Linked DNA regions of Danio rerio. The protein of the gene in region 2 interacts with the protein of the main gene of each other region in a pairwise test. Links are inferred from orthologs where the notes say so. Each region holds a gene or a part of one and is shown on either strand. Other genes may lie near its edges.

Evidence for each region.
Region 1: the proteins of htt (region 2) and txndc11 interact in binary tests that used the Homo sapiens proteins (3 or more experiments, as listed by UniProt). The link is inferred for Danio rerio from reciprocal best matches to the Homo sapiens genes HTT and TXNDC11.
Region 3: the proteins of htt (region 2) and dnali1 interact in binary tests that used the Homo sapiens proteins (3 or more experiments, as listed by UniProt). The link is inferred for Danio rerio from reciprocal best matches to the Homo sapiens genes HTT and DNALI1.

Annotation. Positions count from the first base shown.
Region 1 is NC_133176.1:62,612,945-62,616,665, forward strand, and holds the start of txndc11 (thioredoxin domain-containing protein 11), read right to left. Parts: upstream 2,886-3,721; 5' UTR 2,551-2,885; coding exon 2,420-2,550; exon of another isoform or gene 2,174-2,419; intron 1,939-2,173; exon of another isoform or gene 1,904-1,938; coding exon of another isoform or gene 1,790-1,903; exon of another isoform or gene 1,747-1,789; intron 1,401-1,746; coding exon 1,184-1,400; intron 107-1,183; coding exon 9-106; intron 1-8. UniProt on the Homo sapiens protein: May act as a redox regulator involved in DUOX proteins folding. The interaction with DUOX1 and DUOX2 suggest that it belongs to a multiprotein complex constituting the thyroid H(2)O(2) generating system.
Region 2 is NC_133176.1:44,454,490-44,458,157, reverse strand, and holds part of htt (huntingtin), read left to right. Parts: intron 1-881; coding exon 882-1,002; intron 1,003-1,116; coding exon 1,117-1,176; intron 1,177-1,504; coding exon 1,505-1,584; intron 1,585-2,992; coding exon 2,993-3,131; intron 3,132-3,668.
Region 3 is NC_133191.1:37,142,730-37,144,937, forward strand, and holds the end of dnali1 (axonemal dynein light intermediate polypeptide 1), read right to left. Parts: intron 879-2,208; coding exon 714-878; intron 661-713; exon of another isoform or gene 637-660; coding exon 595-636; 3' UTR 529-594; downstream 1-528. UniProt on the Homo sapiens protein: Involved in sperm flagellum assembly.

The DNA.
Region 1 (3,721 bases), about 18 Mb from region 2:
TGTTGTACCTCCTGTAGTACAGATGAATGACGGGATACTGGAAGAAGCTCTTCTGCTTCCTGCAGCGGCCCTGATGCCACCAGCAGTTCACAGCCAGGAACTGCACCTGCCAGGACACGCATCATCATCATCGTCATCATCATATACGATGATCAATAGATCTGAATTATGAGTATATATCTGTATATTGAGTATAGATGTGAATGTTGAGTATAGATCTGAATGTTGAGTATAGATCTGAATGTTGAGTATAGATCTGAATGTTGAGTATAGATCTGAATGTTGAGTATAGATCTGAATGTTGAGTATAGATCTGATTGTTGAGTATAGATCTGGATGATGAGTATAGATCTGAATGTTGAGTATAGATCTGGATATTGAGTATAGATCTGGATGATGAGTATAGATCTGGATGATGAGTATAGATCTGAATGTTGAGTATAGATCTGGATATTGAGTATAGATCTGGATGATGAGTATAGATCTGGATGATGAGTATAGATCTGGATGTTGAGTATAGATCTGATTGTTGAGTATAGATCTGAATGTTGAGTATAGATCTGGATGTTGAGTATAGATCTGGATGTTGAGTATAGATCTGAATGTTGAGTATAGATCTGGATAGTGAGTATAGATCTAAATATTGAGTATAGATCTGGATGATGAGTATAGATCTGGATGATGAGTATGGATCTGGATGATAAGTATAGATCTGGATGATGAGTATAGATCTGAATGTTGAGTATAGATCTGAATGTTGAGTATAGATCTGAATGTTGAGTATAGATCTAAATATTGAGTATAGATCTGGATGATGAGTATGGATCTGATGTTGAGTATAGATCTGGATGATGAGTATAGATCTGAATATTGAGTATAGATCTGAAAGTTGAGTATAGATCTGAATATTGAGTATAGATCTGGATAATGAGTATAGATCTGATTGTTGAGTATAGATCTGGATAATGAGTATAGATCTAAATATTGAGTATAGATCTGGATGATGAGTATGCATCTGATGTTGAGTATAGATCTAAATATTGAGTATAGATCTGAAAGTTGAGTATAGATCTGTCCAACTCTTTCTATTTTTCCTTTCATTTTATTATTGTTTTATTTTAAAACTGGTTTTATATACATAACGCTCGTCAGTGTAAATCATGTAAACAGAGCACACACTCACCTGGTCGGCCAGACGCAGCGCCACCTGCTGGACGTGTTGCCGTGCTGTGATGGAGTGAGCACACCAGGGGGCGTAGAAGAAGAGCACCGACACATCCGCTTCCTCCCGCAGCCGATCCGCTTCCTCCAGCTGACCCAGGAACAGATCCAGCACTGGTGCCTCCGCGGGGAAGAACCGCATCGGCGGACGGGCCGGAGACACTACACTCTTCACACGACTGACAGCACAAACACACACTGTACACTATAATCACACTGACAGGTACAGCTCCGCTGGAGAGCTCTGGAATCTGCATTTTCATTTGATGTTTGACAATCTCAACTGAAACATGAAGAGGGGGCAGGGCATAAAGAAGCCCCTCCCTCTTACAAAACAGCCAATAGCGTGTAGTTTTTCTCATAGCTCGGCCAGTGGGAGTGGTTAAGCACAAGTGCATCAAACGAACAGCCAATGAGAAGAAGGGGGCGAGGCATGTCAGACACGAGAGAATTTAGACATTGTTTTGGAGAATCTACATTATAGAAATCAATGCTGAGACTCACATCTACATCATGTGTTATGATCAGCAGTATATGATATAATATTGATATTCATCAGTGTATTTACCCGCAGGTGAGTGTTATGGGCAGTAATATATGATATAATATTGATATTCATCAGTGTATTTACCCGCAGGTGTGTGTTATGATCAGCAGTATATGATATAATATTGATATTCATCAGTGTATTTACCCGCAGGTGAGTGTTATGGGCAGTAATATATGATATAATATTGATATTCATCAGTGTATTTACCAGCAGGTGAGTGTTATGATCAGCAGTATATGATATAATATTGATATTCATCAGTGTATTTACCCGCAGGTGAGTGTTATGGGCAGTAATATATGATATAATATTGATATTCATCAGTGTATTTACCCGCAGGTGAGTGTTATGGGCAGTAATATATGATATAATATTGATATTCATCAGTGTATTTACCAGCAGGTGAGTGTTATGATCAGCAGTATATGATATAATATTGATATTCATCAGTGTATTTACCAGCAGGTGAGTGTTATGGGCAGTAATATATGATATAATATTGATATTCATCAGTGTATTTACCAGCAGGTGAGTGTTATGATCAGCAGTATATGATATAATATTGATATTCATCAGTGTATTTACCCGCAGGTGTGTGTTATGATCAGCAGTATATGATATAATATTGATATTCATCAGTGTATTTACCCGCAGGTGAGTGTTATGGGCAGCAGGAGCGCGCAGGTCAGCAGTACGGCACCGCAGCACAGTATCTTTACGGGTCTTCTCGCCATCTGATTCACCGCCTGCCGGAGCTCAGCCCGAACCCGCCGCAGCATCACCGACCGCTACAGACAGCAGCTCATCCCGGTGAACCGAACACAGCTGAACAGGAGCGGTGGAACTGAGCACCAACCGCTTAAACACACGTCACACTTCCGCCTCACAGGCTGAGGAAGCGTCGACAAACTGCACACGCATAACGCGCCGTTCATTTCAATAATGCTTCAGAAGAGTAGATTAACATGCGTACAGTGTTCAGGGGGTCTTCGTTAAGGATGTCTTTATGTATAAAGCGCATTTACTGTGCGTGTTCGGTGTTTGAGGTCGAATGAGGAGCGCGATTGACGGTTTATTTCTGAGAAAACAGCGACGCTGCCTGACGCATCGTGGCCACGCCCACCGAGACCCCGCGCCAAAGATGATTTCTCCATTATTTTGTATTTATTGTCAACATAATGGATTGCTTGATTCATTATGAGTGACGAGCTGTCATAATAAATGTTTTAAATCAAAGTAAAAAACTAGTAGTTCTAATACTAAATGTAAATGTTAGTGTTTATGAATTGTGTAGCATTGGCGTTTGTTATCGCAGTGTATCTTCATTATCAAGGTGTTTTTATTCTGAATCCATTTACTTTTACAGGGTTTTTCCAACCGCTCACACAGATAATCTTTTTATGTCAAACTATTTCTTAAACATGTCACTCAAACTGCATTACTACACCCCAAATCCCCCAAACCATGAGCTGTTCAGCCTCGAGCTCAGCTTCCTGTAGCATCAGACAGCTTTAACCTTTCTAATCCGACCCGACAACTCGAGCCTCAAATCATCATGAACTAGTTGAGAGATATCTGTGAATAAATGTTATCACAAATACCGCTTACTGTTGTGTTTCTAAAGGAAAAGATATCTGATTTCCAATACTTTTAAGACCATTAAACAGAAGCAGAGACTCCCATTATTAATCTCTAATATTTTATATTATTTCATAAATCAACATGGTTTTACTTTAAGGGAATTTGTAGGATCAAAAAAAATTTATTAATCTAAGATATTAATTTAGATTTATTTATAGACTTATTAATTTATTTGTATATTTTTTATTAAAATAAAAGTCCTTTTTGAAGCTACCTCTTTAAATAATTGGTTGACATTTAATTTATAACTTGATCCGTTTATATTTCCATAGTGTGAATTAATTATTTGTATTGTGAATATGAAATGAT
Region 2 (3,668 bases):
CGTGAAAAAATATCGCTTTAAGGGGCTAATAGTTTAGTCCCTAAAATGGTGTTTACAAAAATTAAAACTGCTTTTATTCTAGCTGAAATAAAACAAATAAGACTTTCTCCAGAAGAAAAAATATTATCAGACATACTGTGAAAATGACCTTGCTCTGTTCAACATCATTTGAAAAAAACAATGTTTAAAAAAGAAGAAAACAGTTTGAAGGGGGCTAATTATTCTGACTTCAACTGTATAAACTACAAACAAATCTAGATAAATAATGAAAAAGCCAGTAACATTTCTTTTAGTTTTATTTCTTCTTGAAATTCTTGATTACGTCCTGAATACACATAGAGAAGATAGATCCAGTTTATGGTGATCTTGATGGGTTTGTTTTTATTAGTCTTAGTCTTTTTGGCATAACTGTCCATGCAGCCCTGCCACATCCTTGTTTTTCAAGTAGCATTTCCTTTTTCTGCCGCAGCTTGTATCTTGTAGCTGTCAGTTTTTGATTGAGGGTAATTGGGGTGATTGTAACAGATGTACTAGATGTACTAGACCAGGGACGAGGGTTGCAAATTAGCTTTATGCTATATTCCCTATGTACACAACATCGGTTGACTTTGTAAAACAATGTCAAGTGTATTGTCTCTGTTAAATAAACAAGCAAAAAAAAAAATGAACAGAGGAAAAGACCACAAACAGATGAATATTCTTTCCCTATTTTCTCCAATTATATTCTGGATCTCTGGGCCTAGAAAAATAGCTGATTTTAAATTGCTAAACATACTGTAATGTATTTATTTTGACTCACTGTTCATTTCGAAGCTGTGACCAATAATTTTAGCCTTCTAGTGTTGTTAGCTATGTATTTAATTACACTGATTTGTTATCAGGACGTCTCCAGAGTTCCAGAAACTTCTTGGAATTGCCATGGAAATGTTCTTGCTGTGCAGCGATGACAAAGAGTCTGACGTCAGGATGGTGGCCGATGAGTGCCTCAACAAAATCATCAAAGTAACTCATTTGTAGTTTACATATCTGACATATATTCAATTGGATGATGATTGTAGTGGTGTTTTTTTTTTGTTTTGTTCAATGGTAATATAATTTCTTTGTTTATCTTTGCAGGCATTGATGGATTCCAACTTGCCTAGACTACAACTTGAACTGTATAAAGAGATTAAAAAGGTAAATCAGACTCAATAAACTTTTTGTAATGAATGTTTAATTTATTAGGAGTTCTTTTGTAAATGCATGTCAGTGTACTGAACTGGAGTTCTAGGATTACGTTGTGTGGCTGATTTATATTTAAGTTACATTTTTGTTGCACTTTTGTTGTTAATTTGCGATTTATCTGCAACAATATTTGATTATTTGATTGGTTTGATTATTGTTTTTGTTTTTAGTAAAATTTTTTGGGGGAAATGCTATAAACTTCACAGGCACATGAGTCTTGTGCTCTTTAAGTAAATGTACAGCTCACTAATGGATCACTTTACTGTGTGTGTGGTAACAGAACGCTGCCTCTCGGAGTCTGCGGGCAGCCCTGTGGAGGTTTGCAGAGCTTGCTCACCTGGTGCGTCCACAGAAATGCAGGTATGCTCAACTTTTGGTCACTTACTTCTAGTAGACTGGTCAGGACCCAATTATTGTGGAACATTGTGGGAACAATCATAGGACTAGCTCAAAACAAAGGAATGTAGTTTACTGCAAACGTGGAATTTGCCAAATTAAAGATAAATAAATTGAAAGTAGGGCTTCACTCTTAAATTGCAGTCTTGACTAGTGCTTGTTACTTTTAAATTTACTATGATCTTCTATGTGAAACTGCTTTGACACAATTTACATTGTGAAAGCGCTATACAAACAAAGGTGAATTGAATTGAATTGCATTGAATTTAAACAATGAAAAGACTTTTTAAATTTGATGTTGCAGAACAGAGTTCATTCCATAAGTATTTCATATTTTAATTTGAGAACGCATGACGTATATAAACAGAAACTGTTATTTTCAGAGTGTCAAAATAAAGGTTTGGTTTGGAGGTATTTTGGTTTTGGACTATTGTTCTGTTGAACGCACCCATTCATTCAAAGTAATTACAACAAAAAATGTTCAGAGATTTTATAGACTTAAAGGGATAGGTCACCCAAAACTGATTATTCTGTCATCATTTACTCACTTTTTTCTTGTTCCAAACCTGTTTGAGTTTCTTTCACCTGACAAACACAAATTAAATTTTTTGAAGAATGCTAAAACCTGTAACCATTGACTTCCACAGTAAGTAAACTAAGTAAACTATTCCCTACTATTTTCATATTTTCTAGATAAAATATTATATTTTGTGTTCAATGAACACTTGAGGAACATTAGATAGGGAATATATGTTCATTTTTGGGTGAACTGTCTCTTTATGTGTATTTTGTTTAACACAAAAAAAAAGCTGCAATTTATTTTTTACTTTTTCCATTAAAATGGAAATAAACCAAATTTTGTACTAGTATATGAATTTAAATACATATTTAGATTAAAGTTGAATTCCATTTGTATGTAATATTGTGGTGTTTATTCTACATGATTTATCTATGCACTTGATTATGTTTTTAAATATTAATGTGTCTTTATAATGTCTACCTTTCATGTGCCATTGGTCTTGTTGTCTGTCTTTATCTTGGTCATAGCAGGTAAATAGTTTGGTTTAAATAAATTTTCCTTCAATTGAACTCTTAAATTTTTAGCAACATAGGGCTCAAATAAAAATAAATAATAAAATAAAGCATGTGAAGGTGCCAGAGGTAAGTCGCTTTAGAGTAAACTGAGTATATTCAAATCTGCCTCAATTCTGCTGTATTTCCATTGATCAAGTCAGTTCCTGAAGAACATCACTATAGCGAAGAAAAAATCATTGCAACTTCTGTTTCATGCTGATCTTAAGCTGTGACATGCTTTTGATTGTAAAGATAAGCAAACACAATAAATCCTAACCCTCATTGTCACCTTTCCCAGGCCGTACCTTGTGAACCTGCTACCATGTTTGACACGAATCACAAAACGTCAAGAAGAGACTGTGCAGGAAACTCTCTCTTCTTCAATTCCTAAAATCATGGCTGCCCTCGGACACTTTGCCAATGATGGAGAGATTAAGGTATGAGCTGAAAAAGTAGCATTTCCCAAGGTTATCATGTGTTTACTTTATTTTAAATTTGGTCAAAGTAAAACATTTCAGAAGACCACATCAGGCGATTTGCAATAAAATGTACCTTGATTCAAAAGTCATTAGTCATTCTGGATGGCCTTATGTATTTGACATGAAAATAAGATTGCCTTGCTACTGAATTCTGTGATTTGGCACCTGAGTGAGGGATTTCCCTCACCGTTATCTTGACTGTCTGATCTGAAGCCGTAAATGCGCAGTGGTGACATCATCTCCTCAATATGGAACATGACTCACTCAGGCTGGATTTAATTATCCATGAGCCTCTTCTCCCTCGCATCAAGAGACGGAAAGAGTCTGTATTCTTGCCAAGAACACATTCACTTTTTAAGACTAGAGTATTGTGATTCTAGATGATTTTAAATCCAGCTACGGTTATGAATGAGCTCATTCCACAAATGAAAAACCTTAGGAATGCAAAAGGCATAATTTAATAAAATATATGTGGTGTGTTTGTATGTAGGCCAA
Region 3 (2,208 bases), on a different chromosome or scaffold from region 2:
CTTAAGTAAAAAAACAGTAAAAAAAAAAAAAAAACAGACCAAACGTGACTCTCTCTCTGTTAAACTTCACCCCAACAGAAAAGGAGAATTGAGCGTGCCCAGAAAGTGAAGAAAGTGGGAGTCCGCTATTATGAGACACACAACGTCAAGAACAAGAATAAGAACAGAAAAATTCCCTCAGATGGCAAGAAAGCCAATCGAGCCAAGCGATAAGAGCACATCATCAGATACCCAGTCCCATCCATCCCGTTTTCCAGAGTCCCGTTGGCGGCTGATTCGGAAGATCTGGAGTCAAATCACAGTGATTTGTGTAAAGGTGCAGGTTTGGCAGATCTGTGATGCACTTTAATCATACTGTGATGCTAACCATCATCCTAAACATTACGACTGCACTCTGACAGCTAATTCTCTTCAGCATTGTGCATTTTCAAAAGCTTTTAACTTAAGTCAACGTCCAGATTCAGCAATGTTGAAATGTGGATCATGTACTTGAGTGCCATTATTGTCTGGTGAAAAAGCAACACATTCTCAGAGCGTATAAATCTTTTATTTGTTGAATTTGTTTGAGTTGAAGTATTATTGTTCTAATAATATTTAGGATTTATTCTTCAGGGTGATTATGCTCTCCAGTTGTGCCTAAATAAACAAATGAAAGCGTAAGAGTATGGAAAAGTAATGGTGATCTTTGAAGAAGTCTATTTTTTTTTTTTTACCTTGAGTTGTTGATTGGTTCGTTTGAGGAACTGAACTTCTTCCGCATGCTTTTTTTCCTCAATGTCCCTCCGCTCTGCTTCCCGTCTCTCGATTGCATCACATTTAGCTTTTTGCTCGTTCACCAGCCTCTCCAGGTCTCGCTTTTCGCTCTCCAACTCTGAAATCTACCAGACGTTTGTGTCTCACCAAGGGTGAAATTGTGTGTGCTTCTCAGAAGATTTTTTTAGATGATGACTTTTTAAGCACACAATTTGTAAAATATATCAATTTAAATTAAAGGGGAGCTACTGTTGTTTTAGGCTCCAATGACTTTTTGTTTTGTCCAAAGACGATGTTAAAACGAAAATTATAACCCACTTACAAATTATATAGGGTTTAAAGAAAAATATCAAACTGGTTTCCATGGAACATGTTTATCATAATTTAAATCTAAAAATATGGTCAATTTTGACTTTTCAAATTAGTAGTTAAGAAGGAAAATTCTAGATTTTTGGTTTCTAGTCATATCTATTTTTGAGTGAGTGTATTTTTTGATTAAGGGGCCATGAACCCCTCTCTGACTGGGAGTGGCGAGTGGTGAAAGAGAAAGGTTTGCATAAAAAGGGGAGATTCAATATGCACACTTTACGTTCAACTGATTTTCAAATCAGCAACACAGACACAGGGAAGATAGACAGTGATTCAGAAAGCAGCATTTACAGCGGATCTCTACAGCTGTGAGAAAGTGGAGGATTTTCAATCCATAATATTGTAGTGATATTACTGTAAACTAAAAAGCCAAATCAGTTTGACTAAGGTATGTCTTTAAAATCTGAAAGAGTACTGTCTGCTGACGATACTAACTAACTTGGAAATATGGAGAAACATAGACAAAGAACTTTGATCACACACTTACCAAATCCGTAGAGACAGGACAATCAACACAAACTGGAACAGTGTCTTTTTTTTTTTTTTTTAAGAAGACTAGTGGAAATCCAGATTTCACCAATTCCAGATGCGACAAGCTCTTGGATAAAAAATGTTCCTTACAAACTTATTTTTGTTGTATGTGAGCAGACCATTGTAAGGTCCATACGTGAGCTGTGCACTCATCGTGGGGAAATGGAAACAAAACCTTTGTTGCGGCACATTTATAAATGCAACACTTATGACCCGTGTCTGCGAACAATTATTCTACTTCTTGTTTTAATTATGGTTGACAACACAATATGGTGTTTCTCTGAACACTACAACTGGTAAATACAGTCTCCGAAGCAATATATGCAATAATAATGAAGTTGCATCTCGTTCACAATAGAGCACGCTGATTGGTTCAAACCAAGTCTTTGTAGCAAAAGACCAAAAGAAAATCGGCACACTGCCACTTTAGCTCTCAAAAGTCTTTAATATCACTCACACAACGTTTCGACCGACTTGATCGAACCAAGTCTTTCTCATGAATTAAAGAAAAATTATAAAAATTCAAAATATTATATGGTCAATTAGGCGGTTCAT